4 linked regions of the Rattus norvegicus genome follow. The protein of the gene in region 2 interacts with the protein of the main gene of each other region in a pairwise test. Links are inferred from orthologs where the notes say so. Each region holds a gene or a part of one and is shown on either strand. Other genes may lie near its edges.

The links.
Region 1: the proteins of Ap2m1 (region 2) and Fxr2 interact in binary tests that used the Homo sapiens proteins (3 or more experiments, as listed by UniProt). The link is inferred for Rattus norvegicus from reciprocal best matches to the Homo sapiens genes AP2M1 and FXR2.
Region 3: the proteins of Ap2m1 (region 2) and Tgoln2 interact in a two-hybrid assay, tested with the Homo sapiens proteins (2 studies listed by BioGRID). The link is inferred for Rattus norvegicus from reciprocal best matches to the Homo sapiens genes AP2M1 and TGOLN2.
Region 4: the proteins of Ap2m1 (region 2) and Dvl2 interact in a two-hybrid assay, tested with the Homo sapiens proteins (2 studies listed by BioGRID and IntAct). The two-hybrid records come from large-scale screens. The link is inferred for Rattus norvegicus from reciprocal best matches to the Homo sapiens genes AP2M1 and DVL2.

What each region holds. Positions count from the first base shown.
Region 1 is NC_086028.1:54,848,289-54,852,480, reverse strand, and holds the start of Fxr2 (RNA-binding protein FXR2), read right to left. Parts: upstream 2,813-4,192; 5' UTR 2,794-2,812; coding exon 2,713-2,793; intron 1-2,712. UniProt on the Homo sapiens protein: mRNA-binding protein that acts as a regulator of mRNAs translation and/or stability, and which is required for adult hippocampal neurogenesis. Specifically binds to AU-rich elements (AREs) in the 3'-UTR of target mRNAs.
Region 2 is NC_086029.1:93,865,608-93,869,986, forward strand, and holds the start of Ap2m1 (AP-2 complex subunit mu), read right to left. Parts: upstream 2,874-4,379; 5' UTR 2,846-2,873; intron 591-2,845; 5' UTR 548-590; coding exon 474-547; intron 1-473.
Region 3 is NC_086022.1:106,226,393-106,230,690, forward strand, and holds the start of Tgoln2 (trans-Golgi network integral membrane protein TGN38 precursor), read right to left. Parts: upstream 2,871-4,298; 5' UTR 2,858-2,870; coding exon 2,812-2,857; intron 2,555-2,811; coding exon 1,617-2,554; intron 565-1,616; coding exon 481-564; coding exon of another isoform or gene 337-480; exon of another isoform or gene 1-336. UniProt on the Homo sapiens protein: May be involved in regulating membrane traffic to and from trans-Golgi network.
Region 4 is NC_086028.1:55,225,262-55,228,738, reverse strand, and holds part of Dvl2 (segment polarity protein dishevelled homolog DVL-2), read right to left. Parts: intron 2,462-3,477; coding exon 2,392-2,461; intron 2,117-2,391; coding exon 1,971-2,116; intron 1,863-1,970; coding exon 1,753-1,862; intron 1,636-1,752; coding exon 1,500-1,635; intron 1,351-1,499; coding exon 1,260-1,350; intron 1,143-1,259; coding exon 1,073-1,142; intron 988-1,072; coding exon 848-987; intron 770-847; coding exon 693-769; intron 1-692.

The sequences.
Region 1 (4,192 bases), on a different chromosome or scaffold from region 2:
TTTTTTGAAAGGAGAAAGGGATCTCCCCAAACTTAAAAAGATCTAAAAGACAGTTAATACTCCCTTACTCACATCAAAGTTTGCTGAGTCATGAATATTAATCAACTTGGAATACGCAAGTATCTACAGTGTACACTGAGTTTAAAAAGGATTAGTCTAATTTTAGGGAATTGCCTTTTACTCAGTCATGGAGCAGAAAGTGAAGTGGCCAGAACACAAAATCTATGTTATTTGGCTTTTATTCAACTGTTAACTCTATACTATCAAAGAATCCTGTCTCTGCTTCACTCAAATCTATCACTGCTATGGCCCATAGGCCCATAGGATAAAATGACAAAAGTCAAAAGAGACTTTCTGTTTGCTACCCATATGTGTAACAGAAAACATGTCCCTTTGCAACCACTTCATACAGTTAATTTGAACTGAGCACTGATCTGTCCCATGTCCCAGCTGCGCATGGCTTCCATGCTTCCTTAAACCAAAAGCAAATATCTTATCTTGATCTCACACTCAATTGAAGAATCACTTTTCAAACTAGGAGTGGTTGTGGATGCTGCTTTTAATCCCAGCACTCAACAAAGGCAAACCTATCTCAGTGAGTTTGAGTTCAGGGCAGCCAAAGCTACAAAGAGAAATCCTGTCCCCAAAAATCAAAGCAAAGAAAAAAAAAAAAAAAAAAAAAGGAAAAGAAAAATATGATATAGATATATATATAGATATATATATACATATCTCACTTTTCTTGGAATTTAACATTTTGGGGTGAGAAAGATACAGATGAAGGCTAACATATCAAGAAAAATAGAACTAACAACTTATAGAGTACTTTTTGGTTTTGTTTGGGTTGTTTTTTCAGTCTGATTTCATTCTCCACACTAGTTTTGAACTTCAACAATCCTACTTCAGTCTTCCAAGTCCTAGGATTAGAGTAGGCACCACCATACCCAGCCTGAGGACACTTTTAACAAAGGTAATACAAATGTGGGGGAAAGGAGCCCCAGAGCCCCATCAGAGCCCAAAAGGAATTAAGAGACTTTTGCTACAGAAAACAGAAATGTTACAAAGACATTCTTCTAGTAAGAAAAAAAGTACCAAGAGTTAGGAAAGTGACAGGGAACCTTCTTCAGCTATACAAAGGATAGATAGGTGGACCTCAATGAGGATCCACAGGAGTACAAAAGTACCAAGACTTAATTGAGAGGCTAAATTAAAGCTAGGAGATATGTGTACCCATAGGCACTGGGTGAAGAACGTGATCAGAAAAGGGGAAATTGCCATGGCCTTCACAGTGGGTAACTAACGGGTCAGTTGAAGTGGGGGTAGGAAACACCTACAGAGGCGGGGCAGACCCGTCCCTTTTCAGCTACAAAAAGATACAATTTCATAGTAGTCAAAGTTATTTCCAAGGGCATGAGAAAGTAGAAAGTTCTACTAGGGTAGGGGGACAGACAACCAGAAGAAACATGAAGGAAAAAGGAATCTCATCTCCCATCTAATGCTATGAAAATTCTTCTTCTCCAGAATGAAAGGAGTAAGAGAGGAACCAAAATTTCCAGGACAATTCCATCCAAAAAAATGCAGAAGAGGTTCAGAACCCCACAAGATCAGATGAAGAAAATACCTGAGGGGTGAGAAGAATCAGTCTGAATCTAAATTAGGGGTGAAGGGGATCCAGAATGGACTCAGATACAGAAGATGGGGTGGATAATGGATAGAAAGAAAAAACAAAAGTTCTGGTCTGGCATGGTGGCTCAATCTATAATCCCAGAACTGTAACCCTAGGCTGAGGAAGGAGTACAGAAGAGTTCAAGTCCAGCCAGGGAATCTTGTCCCAACCACACCCCTCAAAAAAGTTCACAGGAATCAAATCTTGGACAAAGAAAAAGCTGAAATAAGCAATTCTGAAAGCTACTTTTTTCTTTCCAAAAAGACTGTCAACAAGCAGAAATCAGAAGAACAGAAGCATGTGGAGATGGCCTTTTAGAGATGGTGAGGCTTAAACTTACCAAGAAGATATAGGAATGACCTAAATACATCTAGAGTCAAAGAGATAAAACACGAATCCATCCCTGGAGAGCTGGCTTTGGTATAAAGGTGTGGTAGGTGACAGACTTGTCCAACAAATCCACTAAATGGCTGGCTGGCTGGCTGATAAAACCTGAGGCCAAAGATGCTAAAGTAACAAATGGGTTCTGACCATTTCTTGTCAGACTGGGAACAGGAATGTAAGATGAAAGTTGAGCAAATGGTTCTAGAGCCAGTAGGCAAAGAAGCCTCCCTGAAGACCGAAGACCTAATATGGCACAGTGGACCTTCACAAGGGGGTCATGTAGGAAAAGAAAGGGAATCCTCCATGTGCTTGGCTGTAGGGGAGATGTGATTAAAAGCTGAAGTATCTCCTACACTAAAAAACAAGAAAAGTCGATTAGAAGCTAAGAAAAGGGGTTTCTCCAGGGTTCCCATCCACGCATAGTAATGACCTGATGTTCATGCCTTCAGCTGAGGATAAAAGCAGGTGTAATAGCGGGCTCAAAAATAAAAGCACGAGGGTTAACTCCCACGATCTCCCCGGGAGGGTTTCGAGTGGGAACGTGGGTCGAAGGTTCGAAGGGTCAGGACTAAGCTCCAGAAACTCGATCCCGCTGCACTCTTCCCTGCCTCGGCTGGGGGAGGGGGCTAAGGAGTGTGTCCCGGGTCGACGCGCCGTCTCACCTTGTAGAAGGCCCCGTTGGAGCCCCGCACCTCGACGGGCAGTCCCGGCTCCACATCCCCCCCAGAGGCCAGGCCGCCCATGGCGCCGCCACCACCTCCGACTGCCCCGGCAGCAGCTGAAACAGAGCCCTGAGTGCGGGCCGGGCCGGGCCCCCGGCGTCTCCCAGGAGGAGGAGCCGGAGGGGGAGCCGCGGGGGGCGGGAGCCGGGCCGGCCCCACGGCGGCCCTGCTACAGCCGACGAGCAGGGGGCCGGGGCCGGGCCGCTCCCCGTCCGCCGCCGCCGCTGCCTTGGTCTCCGCCACCGTGAGGGAAACGGCCGCCGCCGCCGCCGCCTTCGTCACCTCAGCTTCCGCCCGCCGGCGCCCCCGCTGCTGCCTCAGTCCCGGGACCCGCTGCTGCCGCTGCCGCTCCACGGCCTCCACCTCCCCCTGCCGCCGCCGCCTACTGCGCAGGCGCACAGGGCACCCGCCCGCCGCGCGCGGAGCCGGAGGGCCAAGGCGCAGGCGTCTAGGCTAGCGACCTAGCTCCCGCTCGCCAGCGCGTCAGGGCTTCCACATTCTCTTGCACTCTCTCACGCCCCCTCCTGGTCGCGTCTCTGCGCTTGCGCAGAACGAGATGAGCGCTCTATCTGTACCGCTCCAACCTTCCACTGTCCCTGTCCCTTCCTTTCCCCGCCCCACAACACTGGAAGCAAACCAATCAAGGGAAGAGAGGGGCCGCGCTCGCTCCGTCGGATTGGACTTCCGCCTCCACAAAGTGAGCCCCCATGGAGCCTGGGCAATTTAGGGATGGGCATGCGCCGGAATGACTGCTTGGTCACTTTCACCACCTTTGTCTTTCTCGGTGCGCACACTCCAAAGGGGGGCTGGGAGGGTTGGGACCGAAAGGAAAAAAACTGCCCAGTGCGCAGGCGCTGGGCTTTGGTGTCCATGCGCATGTGTTGACTCTCTGCATCCGTAGGAGAATCAAGAGTCACGGTTCTTGGCTTGAGTAGATTTTTTTTTTTTTAAGTTTTGTGAGACAGGGTCTCCTGTATCCTAGGCTGACCGTGTAGTGCGGGAATGACCTTGAATTCCTGATCCTCCAACCTTCGCCTCCCAAGTGCAAAAATTACAGGCATGTCATTTCCATGCTTGCCCTAAGTTGATTCTAATATTCTAGTAAACTCAATGCCCTGTGAAAAACAAAGTGCCACATAACCTGATACATAAATGCTGAGGAGATTCAAAACAGGAAAAATTGTCACAGAGTAACTAAAACATCCTGGCCTGGAAAGATGGCTCAACTATCAACCTTAACAACTGGAGTTGTATTCCTAGACCCACAAGATGGAAGGAGATATCCCCCACCTCCTGCAAGTTGTCTCCTGACCATCACACATATGACATCATTCATGGTCACCCACACATATAACAGAATTTCTTTTTAAGTAAAAATAAGGAATGTTAAGTGGAGAGATGTCAGCTAGGGGCTGGAGTG
Region 2 (4,379 bases):
TCTTAGGCGCTACCCAGGTCCACCCGGATGAACTACAAAGGCAGCATGACCCACAGAGCGCAGCCTGTTCACAACCAGGGAGGGTCCAGAAGAACAGAAAACAGCTGAGTCAACAGACTAGAGAGGGGTTTTAAGGGGATCTAGGGAAGGCTCTCAGTATGAGAAGGATTTGAAAGCAAGATTTAGATGGATTAGTACCACCGAGCACACACTAACCACACCCACAGGAGATAGTGCTCCCTCCTGAAAGGAAGAATCAACCTGACCAGGCAAAAGCACTCATCTTCAGCCACCAGACCAGACCTACAGGGAGCAGGAAGGGCAGGAGTTCCTAACCCTAGGGGGTGGAGGTGTCATCCCCAGGCCCTGAGCCTAGCAGCTGGGCCGATGCCCAATGGAACCAGGCTATATTGCATGCTCAGGCTGAGGCGATGGGGGGGCTGGGGCACAGCGTGCTCAGGCAGGGGACTTACCCGATGTCATCTCTGTAGACTCGGGAGATAAGCACCTCCCCCTTGTGATTATAGATGAATAAGCCTCCGATCATGGCGGCAGCTCAGTCTCTGTGACCCATTGCTCTGAGAACAGACCTAGGTAGGAAAGGTGGGGATAGGGAATGGGGAAATCTTTAGATCCCTTGCCCATCTCAGCGGGGCTGTACAGGGCTGCCTTTTTTCCTGACTCAGTCCTCTAGCAAGTGACCCTGCAGCCCTCCCAAGGAAGCCCCGCCTGCACGCACAGCGAGGCTCCAGTTCCTGTTTATTCCACACTGGATAGGAGACAGTACTTTAAGTGTGGGGCCCAGGGTTAAGGCCATTTTACTCAGTCTTTTCTGAGGGCTGAGCTTGAAAGTAACCACCCCCCCACCCCCACTCGCACCCCTCCCCGTCGTCTTCACAATGCTGAGCTCAGCTAAGATTCTTTTCAAACCCCTGCTGTGCAGACTCTCACTCCCCGCAACTTCAGTGAGTCAGAGAAAAGCTTGCCCGCGGATGCAGGAATGGCGGTAGGGATTAGGCGGTAGGAGTTAGCTTGTGCCCGCCACCAGGCATAACTTTTAGAGCAAGCACTATTCTTCCAAGAAGGCAGCAGAGCATGACCGTCTACAAGGCTACACATTCCAGGAAAGGGTGTGCAGAGTGAGGTGGGGGTGGGAGAAGAGGCCCTTAGGCTCTAACACAAACCCAGGAATGTGGCTGAAGCAGGCTCGTCTTCCCCAGGCAGTGAGATAAGCAGGCAAAGGAACAGAGAGGCCCAGGGCGAACAAACCACGCTCCAATGCTCCCAAGTTCTTCTTAGAAAGATTTCATTTTTACCTTCACATAGGTATGCCAATGTGTGTGCTGTGTGTGTGGAAGTCTAGACGTCAGGTGGAGCCCTGCCCTCCATCCCACAAGCCTGAGTTACAGGCAGTACTGAACCAAACGACATGGGCTGAGACCTGAACTCAGGTCTTCTGGAAGAACAGTAAGGACTCTGAAATGCCAAGTCCCTCTTTCCTTTCTTTTCTTTCTTTCTTTCTTTCTTTCTTTCTTTCTTTCTTTCTTTCTTTCTTTCTTTTTGAGCCCCCTTTACAATTATTTCTGGTCACTGTCTTATCAAAATTTCAAAATGTGACAAAAATTAGGTCTGTATGTAGCATTAATCCTGCTAAATTGTGACTCCAGAGCTGCCAAGTCAGTCACTTCTGGCCTGGTGTTTACTAAGCAATGGGCAAGGTAACAGAATGTCTCAACTGCCCAAATTCATTTGGGTCAAAATTAATTTAGAATATTTAAGAAAATAGGTTAATCTGGTTCTAGATTTTTCTGGATTAACCCTGGTATTAATTTCACTGATGTTAGTCTAACAAGACTTTCTGAAACTGAAAAGTTAACCCTTGAAACCCAGTCACAAGTCAACTAAGGTAGTGGACACACTTGTCTCACAGTTCAAAGAAGGTGAGAAAGAAAATGCAAAATGGAGGTTGTCCCCTGAGCAAAGGACCAAGTCCACAGGTATCAGCCGAGGGTGGGAGTGGTGGTGGAGGTGGAGGTGGCTGTGGTTGTGGTGTGTGTGTGTGTGTGTGTGTGTGTGTGTGTGTGTGTGTGTGTGTGTTGTGTCCTGGACAGAAATGGAATATTTAGTTAAGGGACCGATTAGCTGTAATTGCTAGCAATAGACCAGGATGACCCCACAGCAGCAAATACAGCTGTGGGAGTCCCTCAAGTTCTCCTATGACAAAGGTCATAGGAGCTTTGGAGGAGCAAAACAAGGCGAAAAGATAGACAGTAGAAAAAGAGAAAGCTGAGAGATAGGGCCTACTCTTCTTTTAGTGAAGCATGAGGGGTTGGTGGAGTTTTTCTCAGCAGAGGGGGGAGACATCTAGGCCGAGGAGATGTCACCAAGGGATGCGGGGGCTGTCATAGGTCTGAGGTAGAAGAGCAGTGGGGGGTAAACCAGGAGGAAGGAATCTCTCAGTGTTCCAGAGAGACCTGTCACTGTCCAAGGGAGTGGCACCAGGGGATGTCAATGTCCTGGGGGATGGGAGAATGGGAAACCTCGGGGTTGAGCGGTTGTCAGGATTCTAGGGATGGGGCGCCGCGCGGGGTCCCCGGCTCTAGGATTCCGGCCCGAGTCTCCTCCCGGAGACGCCCAGCGGGTTACTGGAGGGCGTCGTTCCCCGCCCTTGCTGCAATCGCGCCCAAGGCACCCCCGCCCGGTCGTCTGCTCCCTCCCGGGTCTGGAGGCTGAGGCCACTCCCGGGTGCGGGCAGTTTTCCACCCAGCACAGTGCGGGGCAGGGCAGGTGACCACGGCACCCTCGCCGCCCGGTAAGGATCTCTAAGTCAAGCTTCCCAGCTCACCTGGAGTCAGCAGCCCCCACAAGGCAGGCCTGGCCACTCTCGGATCCCAAGATGTCCGCCCGCCCCCAGCTCGCCTGTCTGCTGCCTCCGCTTTCACTGCAGTGCTCCCGCCCCGCCCCGCCCCGCCCGCAGCTGCGCCTGCGCGCTCACCTCCAGCGGCGACTACAAGTCCCGTCAGTCTCCGAAGCTTTCAAGCTGACACATCCGAGTGCCCTAAGTCTAGCAAAACTACAACTACCGACAGCCTTCGAGACAGAGTCGACGTCGGCCTCAGTGCGTCTTGCTGGCAACACGGGTCATGGTACGCTCCACAGACTATTTGCTTCACTGAGAATCACGGGAAGTGTAGTCTCTGTAATCCTTCTCGTTCCTAGTTAGAGGAGGTAGGCTTTAAGAGACCAAAGCTGTTTGTTGAAACCAATTGTAAATTTTGAATTATTAGATTTTTATTGTCTCCAGATTTCGAAGAGTGGCTATATTCACTTTACAAACACAACTTGCATAAGCCCGTTACTGCTGAATTTATTGCTTTTTAACACATTTGATTCTCCCGAGGTTTTATATATATTCCAGGATAGGACTGAGCCCTTTCTCAGGGATAATTATCCAAACAGAAAGGCTGGGAAGGAAAGCACTAATTCTTGGTAAAACATTAGTGTTTTTCTCAGCAAAATCTGTGACTGTGGTGTGCTGGTGACATATGCCGTTAATTCCAGAGCTCTGAAGGCAGAGGCAAGAGCATCTCTGTGAATTTGAGGCCAGCCTGGTCTAAATAGGGAGTTTCAAGACATCCCAGGCTACAAAAGGGAGCCTGTTTGTCCACCACTCCAGTTTAGTTGGGCATGGGATTTTAAAATCCCATTTCTCATCTGGGCAGTGGTGGCACATGCTTTTAATCTCAGCACTCAGGAGGCAGAGGCAGAGGCAGAGGCAGGCAGATCTCTGAATTCAAGGCCAGCCTGGTCTATAGATCGAGTTCTAGGACAGCCAGGGATATACAGAGAAACCCTGTCTCAACCTTAAAAAAAAAAAAAAAAGATTTCTTATGATATCCAAACTGAGAATGAGGCAGAACCAACCCGAACACAAACGGCTGTCTGATTTTTGCCAAATCTAGAAAAGTTGGTTTTTCTCTCAGTGGACAGAGACATCTGTTGCCTAAACAGGCCAGAGACTTCTATGGCAGAAAGGAAGGGGTGGGTGTTCAAATCTGGTTGCTAACCCTACTATTCCTAGCAACCTCCTTCCAGAAGCCAAAACCCAGAAACTTGTAACCTTTGAAGGCTTCATGTCTATCTTCACAAAAGCTTTCTCTTCCCAACATACCCTAAAAGTTTAGAGTAAATTAGTGATAACAACAACAACAACATAGAAATAGAAATAGTAATAATAATAGCTACCATTTATTGAGCACCTACTCTATTATGTGCCAGGCACTGTGCTAGGCACTTTTCGTACAATATCTAATTTAAATCCTCACAACAACCCTGTGAGGTAGGTATTATTATCATCATTTTACATATGGGAGGACTGA
Region 3 (4,298 bases), on a different chromosome or scaffold from region 2:
CTCGTCTGCTGTGGGGGAGTTGTGATCCAGGGCTTTGTTGCCCAAAGTGTGGTCTGGCAGCCAGTGGGGATCCCCACAAAATGAGGATGGATAGGTTCTCTCCCATACTCAGTAAATCAGATTTGGCTTTGATCACATTGTTCAGTGTTTATCACAGTATTTGTCTGTCAAGAGCTGAAATAGTGAAGAAAGTGTTTAAAAGTATACAGAGTTACTATCAGGTGCTAGTATTTCCTCTGAGTGGAAACTCAGAAAGAAAACAAACAAACAAAATCACACTTCCAGGTAGATCTGTTTATCTGTCAAATGTGAAAGGACTGAAAGCCCTCTCTATCTCTACCTTTGTAGATAGATACACATGCAGTGTGCGGACGGTCCTACTTGCAGTCTCCAAGGGCTAGGAGCAATGGCTGCGGCAACCCCAGAACTGGCCCACTGGAGGCTGCATATCCCTCCTACATTGGGTTTCTCCTTCCTTACCTTTAGGTTCAAACGTTGGTAGTCACTGGCCTTTGGCCTCCGAGTGACTTTGGATCTTTTTCCTTCCAGGGCAAAAGCAATAATCTGAGGGAAGGACAAAGAAAACAGATTAACATTTGACTCTGTAATGAGGGACTTCACTTCCTGAAATCAGAAGCAGTTACCTAGATCCACAAAGAGGACTATTTAAATTACACACACACACCCAAGATTTTAAAGGGGGCTTGGTTACAACAAAATCCTTTATACTGCTTAATAGGGCCCAAGAGATGGAGGCTGAAGCCTGTGGAAATCTGTATGATTTAATTATGGGAGTTAGAGGTCTGCCAGTTCTCTTGCCAGAGAGTTCTAGGTCAGGTGTTTAAGGGGGAAAAATAATGACGGTTTCCTAGCTACAAACACATGCTTTGCTCCCACACAGTTTCAACTTTTCTCTAATTTACTGCTTTCATCATGAACGTTTAAATGTACAACGAAGAATGTAGACTCTTCATTCTTTAGAGCCATATGCCCAATGGCTATCACCAACTGAATTCTTCAATAAGTCAAGCTACTGAAACTGTCTTCTAAATCTCATGGCTCATTAAGAAATACAATAATTTTGTCATTAGAGTTGTTTGTAAGGTTGTTTCATGGGTGGCACTTTAACCCCAAAGTTGGGTGCATTTATGCAATCTCTAGGCTTGCTTCTGACTCTTGGTAGCAGAAGAGTCATTCTTGGGCTTTATACTACTGGTGTTAGAGACTATGTAACTGAAAATATTCTTCCTGCCTCCAGATGGAAGACAGTTGGAATAAAAGCTAGAAATGGTAAACTATCTCAAGCATGGAAAAGGGGAAGAAATCTACCTGTCAAGAACTTGGGTTCACAGAGGCTGTGAATAATCTGAGTTCCAAGTTACAGGAGGGGAATCACAATTAGGTCAGGTCAAGATTCACGTCCAACTTGGCACTTTACAGCAGAACTCTGAGGAAACGGGTCACATGATTTACAAAACAAAACCCAGAGTCCTAGCAAGGTCTAAGGAAAAACCGAAGATGATCTTAAAATCCTCTGAGCTCACAGGCAGATGAGTGACAGATAGCTGCCCATGTACAAAGAACTCAGGGTTCTGGACATTCCAGTCCCCTCTTACCTTTCGTTTGTTGTGGTAAGCAATATAGAGGACAGCAACAAGAACAGCAGCGGTCACCAGATAAGCAAAGAAGTGGCTGCTTTCTGCACTGGTGTTTCCAGAATTGTCCTTATAATGGTCATCCTTCTCATCCTTCATAGAATCTGTAAGTGTCCCCTCTTGGTTCTCACTGGAGGAAGGGCCCAACACCTTTTCATTCTCTTCTTCAAGTGGTGAACCTTCTTCGGGCTCTGTATCACCCTCTTCAATCTCCTTGGTTTCCACATCTTCAGTAGGCTCTGAAGACTTATCTCCTTTCTCTGGCTTTAAAGAGAAGTCAGAGTCCCCTGCCAGTTTTTCCCCAGATTCAGTTTTGGAAATAAGTGTTGGTTTCTGTCCTTTTTCAGTTAGCTGGACTTTGTCAATTTTTGGAGTCTCTGTATTGGAGGGGACTTTGGAGGTGGGCTTGTTAGAATCACCTCCTGTGGGCTTGTCATTATCACTTCCTGTGGGCTTGTTAGAATCACCTCCTGATGTCTTGTCAGAATCAACTCCTGTGGTCTTGTTAGAATCACCTCCTGTGGTATTGTCGGAATCACCTCCTGTGGGGCTGCCTGAATCTTTTGTAAACTTCTGACCTGACTTTTCCTGTTTGGGGTCCACAGGCAAAAGCTGCTGCAAAGTTTCCTTCAATTTGGCATCTGCTGTTTCGGGGTGCTTTTTGGAATCATCCAAATTGAGATTGGTCGCAGATTCCACCCCACTGGAAACTGATGCCGAAGTCCTAGCCACCGTCTTGTCCTGGCCTTCTTTATCCGACTCCAGCCTCTGATCAGTCGGTCTGTTAGTCTTTACCTGTTGAGAAATATCAACCCCAGGAGGCAGGGGCGTGGAAGGTTGAATCGGAGGATTATTTTCACTTGATGTGTTGTTTGGCTTAGAAGCGGATGGCAGAGCTCCTGAAACAGAAAAAGCAGTAAGTCCACGTTAAAAAAAAAAAAAAAAAAAAAAAAAAAAAAAAAAAAAAAAGGCCGGGAGAAAAGAAGGGCTTGACTTCTAAGACCCTAGCGGTGATGGCCGAATGGAAGAGCAGTGGAGATTGCTAGAGGAGGGTCGGGTCAGGCGAGAAAGACGACAGCTCCCGTGGCGACCCACCAAGGTGAAGAATGGGGAACCTAAGGGAGAGAATGACAAGGGCTTGGGGGGGTATCCTTACTCGCCACCGCGACACTCAGCAGGAGCAACGCAACCAGGAACTGCATCCTGTAGTCTGCGCTTCCGCCCTCTACTGACGTGAGAGGGGCGCAAGGTATTTCCAGAGCGTGCCCCCCCCCTTTCCGGCGGACTGTTTCTCTTCCGGCGCAACCCCGCCTTGGGGGTGGGGTTACTGGGTGTCGCCAGTCAGTGACTGTATATTCCGATAGTGTGCCGGAAATCAAGTCCAGCTCCCCCCCCCGCCCCGCCCCGGCCTGCCCCCCAGCTCCCCTCTCTATTTCAGCAGTCTGGGGAGCTCGGCAGTCTCTTTCTTGTTCCCTTGGCCTCGTACTTCAGAAACTGTCCGACAGGCAGGTGCTGCGTCGCCTCTCGCTGCTTATGATGTGGGGTCGGGGCCGGGAGCCTCTTTGTCGCATCCTCTGTTCATGTTTCTAACCTCACCGTTGCTGGTAGTGCTTTTCTCACTTAACACAAAAATGTACTCTGTTCAGCTCTTTCCCATCTAGAAACAAATACATTTCATCCTGATCCCAATCCCTTTTCTTGGCGGTACCCAGGGCCCTCTGTATTTACCAACGTTTTTTTTTTTTTTTTCTCTCCCCTGAATTTCTATGTGTTTGAAACTATATTGTTATGTGGGCAGCCCCTGCCTCCTGAGTGTTTGGGATTATAGGCGCCTCGCCACGCCCCTATTGAGCTATTTATTTATTTAAGAAATCAGATATCAAAGATTGATTTTTATTTGTGTACGTGTGCCCGCCACCTGTGTGCAGGTGCTTTTGGAGCTAGATGAGGACATCGGATCCCGTAGAGCTTCAGGCGTTTCGAACAATCTATGTGGTGTTGGAAACTGAACTCTGCTCCTGTGGGAGAGCAGCAAGTCCTGAGCCATCTCTCCAGTTCAGGACATGAGGTGCTTTGTTGCCCAAACAAGAAGACCTTGAATTTCTGATCTTCCTACTGGATTACTGGCTTGTATCTCCAATTTATGTAGTACTTGAGATCAAAATTGTGACTCTGTGCACACTAGACAAGCACTCTGCCTCGCTCAACACAACAATGTGTGTGTGTGTGTGTGTGTGTGTGTGTGTGTGTGTGTGTTCTTTTTGGGACAGGGTTCTTATGTTTAACACCTCTGCTGTCCTAGAACTCACCCTGTATTCCATGCTATCCTTGCACTCCCGGAGATCCACCTGTCTCTGCCCACTGAGTGCTGGGATTAAAGACATGCACCACCACACCTGGCTCAAGCAACACATTTAAAAGCAGAATTTTAAAATAACTATACCTTTTTTTTTTTTTTTAAAAGAGAGCCAGGTGATGGTGGGACACACCATTAATCCCAGCACTCAGGAGGCAGAGGCAGGCAGATGTCTGAATTTGAGGTCAGCCTGATCTACAGAGTGAGTTCCAGGACAGCCAGGGTTACACAGAGACACCCTGTATTGAACAACAACCATAAAAGACATCTTTAGGGTCTAGAGAGAT
Region 4 (3,477 bases), on a different chromosome or scaffold from region 2:
AGTGTGAGGGTGAAGGCCTCCACAGTGTGGATGACTCACCTACACTCAGAAGTTAAAGACACTGCTGCGTGAAACAATGGAGCACACGCTGTACAGCTCATTCACAGGAAGCCTCAAACAGGTAACACCACACCATCTTGTTCCAGGACTCAGGCATGGGTGGAAAACCATTAAAGGTTTTCTTGACCAAAGAAGCCAAGACGGTAATTACCGTCAGTGAGGAGGGTGGGAGTGGAAAGGAGCACACAGTGGGTGGCCTTTTCTGAGGTACTCACCCACACCTGTTTCATGCTTTAGTTTGAAGTGACATGCCATCGAGATTTGCAATTTTGGGAGGTTTTTTGTTTTGTTTTTAAAGACTTATTTATCTTATGTATACGAGTACACTATAGCTATCTTCACACACATCAGAAGAGGGCATCAGATCCCATTACAGATGGTTGTGAACCACCATGTGGTTGCTGGGATTTGATCTTAAGACCTTTAGAAAAGCAGTCAGTGCTCTTAACCCCTGAGCCATCTCTATAGCACTGGTTTTTTGTTGTTTTTTTTCTCCACTATGTAGACCTAGCTGGTCTGGAACTCACTATGTAAATCAGGCTGTCCCAAGCTTAGAAAGCCCAACTCTGCCTGGAGTAACATAGTCTGTGTACAATGTCGAGGCCTAAGGAGCAGACGCAGCACAGACTTACCCTGGCTTGTGTACAATGTCTCTCAGCACCCGCACAGCATCGTCATTGCTCATGTTCTCAAAGTTCATGTCGTTTACCTGCAAGGAAGGGCAGTGGGTCACAGGCAGTGTGCAACAGGCAGAGCCTCTGCCCAAGCCAGCTGCCAGTCAACACACCTGCAAAAGCATGTCTCCAGGCTCGATCCGCCCATCTGCAGCCACCGCTCCCCCTTTCATGATGGAGCCTATATAGATGCCTCCGTCACCACGCTCGTTACTTTGGCCCACAATGGAGATACCCAGGAAGTTGTATTTCTCTGTGGAGGGAGGCCATATGAGGGGACTGAGCCCCAGAAACCCTGAGACCCTCTCCTTCCCATCTGCCATCAGGACCCTCCATACCCATGTTGAGTGTGACTGTGATGATGTTGAGAGACATTGTAGAATCTGTGACACTGCTGAAGGATGAGGTCTGCAGAAAGAAGACAGGGAAGATGTGAACTGCTCCCCATCAACAGAGACATAAGCCACAAGCCTGTGTCAGAGGGCCAGCTAAAGTAAAGCCTACTTCTCCCAAAAGAACCCTCACCCTCTCCATGCGTGGCGGCCGCTGCTTCCTTCGCCTTCGGTGGCGCTTGAGGAGGCGGGAGGCACTGCTCTGCTCAGTGGAGCTGCTGAACCTGATAGCAATTGAGAGAGAAGCAGAGCATTTGGGGGTGGAAGTGGTCAGGGAGTCACAGGAAACAAGAAGATTGGCTAGGAAGGAGGGAGGACAAGGGGCGAGCGCCTCGGGCGAGGGCGGGCAGAGGAGAGATGTGTGAAGCCATACCTACTCATGCTGTCATCCTCATCTGAATCTCCTAAGCTGGTACTTTCCAGTTCGCTGGTCATGAGGGTGGAAGAGCTCTCATACCCAGCCAGGTGGCGCTCCAGCCTTGAGGGGACGCCAGGCCTGTGGCCACCAGCTGTGTATAAACAAACGTGTCAGGAGCCAGGCCTCCCATTCTTCATGCTCGGCATGCTGAGGCTTGCCTCCCTGCCCAGCTCACAGTCTACCCTGCCTCCAGGGCCTGACCCCTCACCGCCATGCTCACTGCTGTCTCTCCTCCTAGGTCGGTCTCGTCTCAGTGATACGACGGATTCAGTTTCTGTCTCAGGCTCTAGATTTTCATGGCTACTGGATACATTAGGGCTACACAGGTAGAGAGAGTTTCAACCAAAGTCAGAAGGACAGAGCACCGGATCCTCAGTCTCCCCTCTTCGCTCCCCTCCCCTGGATTCAAAACCGTAAAAGACTCACTGGAAGGATGGAGGCCTTGAGTCCCCAATGCCACTGGTCCTTTCTGGTGGCAAAGGGGGTAATGGTGGAGGTGGAGGAACCAGTTCTGTCCGAGACTCATGGGCAGGGGGCGCTGTCTCAGGCTGGGGGCTCTCTGATGACACCAGCTAGGGGAGTGTAAGTGAGAAAACATGGCTCCACTGGGAAGTGCTTTACGAGAAAAGAGTAAAGGAAGAGGACCAGAAAGAAAGGGAACAGGGTCCCAGAGACCTGGGCCAGTATGCGAGGCTACAGGAAGAAAAGGCTGAGGAATGCTCACTGCATCCACAAGTAGAAAAGAGGGAAGCCAGGGCCACCAGTGACTGAGCATGCGGGGGTGGGGGTGTGTGGGGTGTGCCGAGATAGACTGAGGTTGGAAGCAGCTTGGTAACGAGTCCCTTACCCAGGAGACAACCCTTCCATTGAAGCAAGGTAGGCGGGCACTGTCGTCAGAGATCTCTTCCTTCACCACCCTGCAGAGAGAGAAGAGCCATTACTAAGAGCCAGGTGTGATAGGGTACACCTTCAACTCTAACACATGGGAGGCCGAGGCAGGAGGCACTCAGTGAGCCAGGGTTTTACACACACACACACACACACACACACACACACACACACACACACACACACACACACACAGAAGCTGGATGGTGGTGGCACGTGCCTTTAATTTCAGCATTCTGGAAGAAGAAGTAGGTAACCTGAGTTTGAGGCCAGCCTAGTTTACAGAGAGAGAGAGTACCAGGACAGCCAGGGCGCCACAAAGAAACCCTGTCTCAAAAAACAGGGAGAGGGGATTAGTAAGGCTAAACTGGTCACCCCCATTCCGAATCTCATTCCAAGTCTCTCCCAATCTCCATCCAGTCCAAGCACAGCAGAGTTAGTGTGTGTGTGTGTGTGTGTGTGTGTGAGAGAGAGAGAGAGAGAGAGAGAGAGAGCCAGCGAGCTGTATCCCTGAGAGAGAGAGAGAGAGAGAGAGAGAGAGAGAGAGAGAGCCAGCGAGCTGTATCCCTGGTTGGCCTCAAACTCATAGAGATCTGCCTGCCTCTGCCTCTCCATCCTGGTATTAAAGGCATATGTCACCAAAACTAGCTATGCCGCATGGCTAGCATGCCTCACCATGCCTGGCTCCTCTGCTTTTACAGTGAAGTAATCCCAGACTCTCCTTATTTTATCCCAAGACCCCCTCCTCCCCCACTCATCTGTAGAGGCACAGTGCCGCTAAAAAGACTTCTTCCCATTTGATCCAAACCTCATAGTACCACTCCAAATTCCCTCTGGGACAGTTCCCAACAACTGCTCCAGATACCTAACTTAGGAGTCTGGCTGGCAGGCAGCCTAACCGTCTCTGTCCTACACATCTGTCCCATAAAAGCCTCTGGTCCTCATGTAATCTGCTGCTGTTCCTCTGCATTTTAGTTCTCTCTAATTCACATCCAGAACCTGCCCAAATGTGTGGCTTTTGCTGGGTACAAACACACTAAATGCA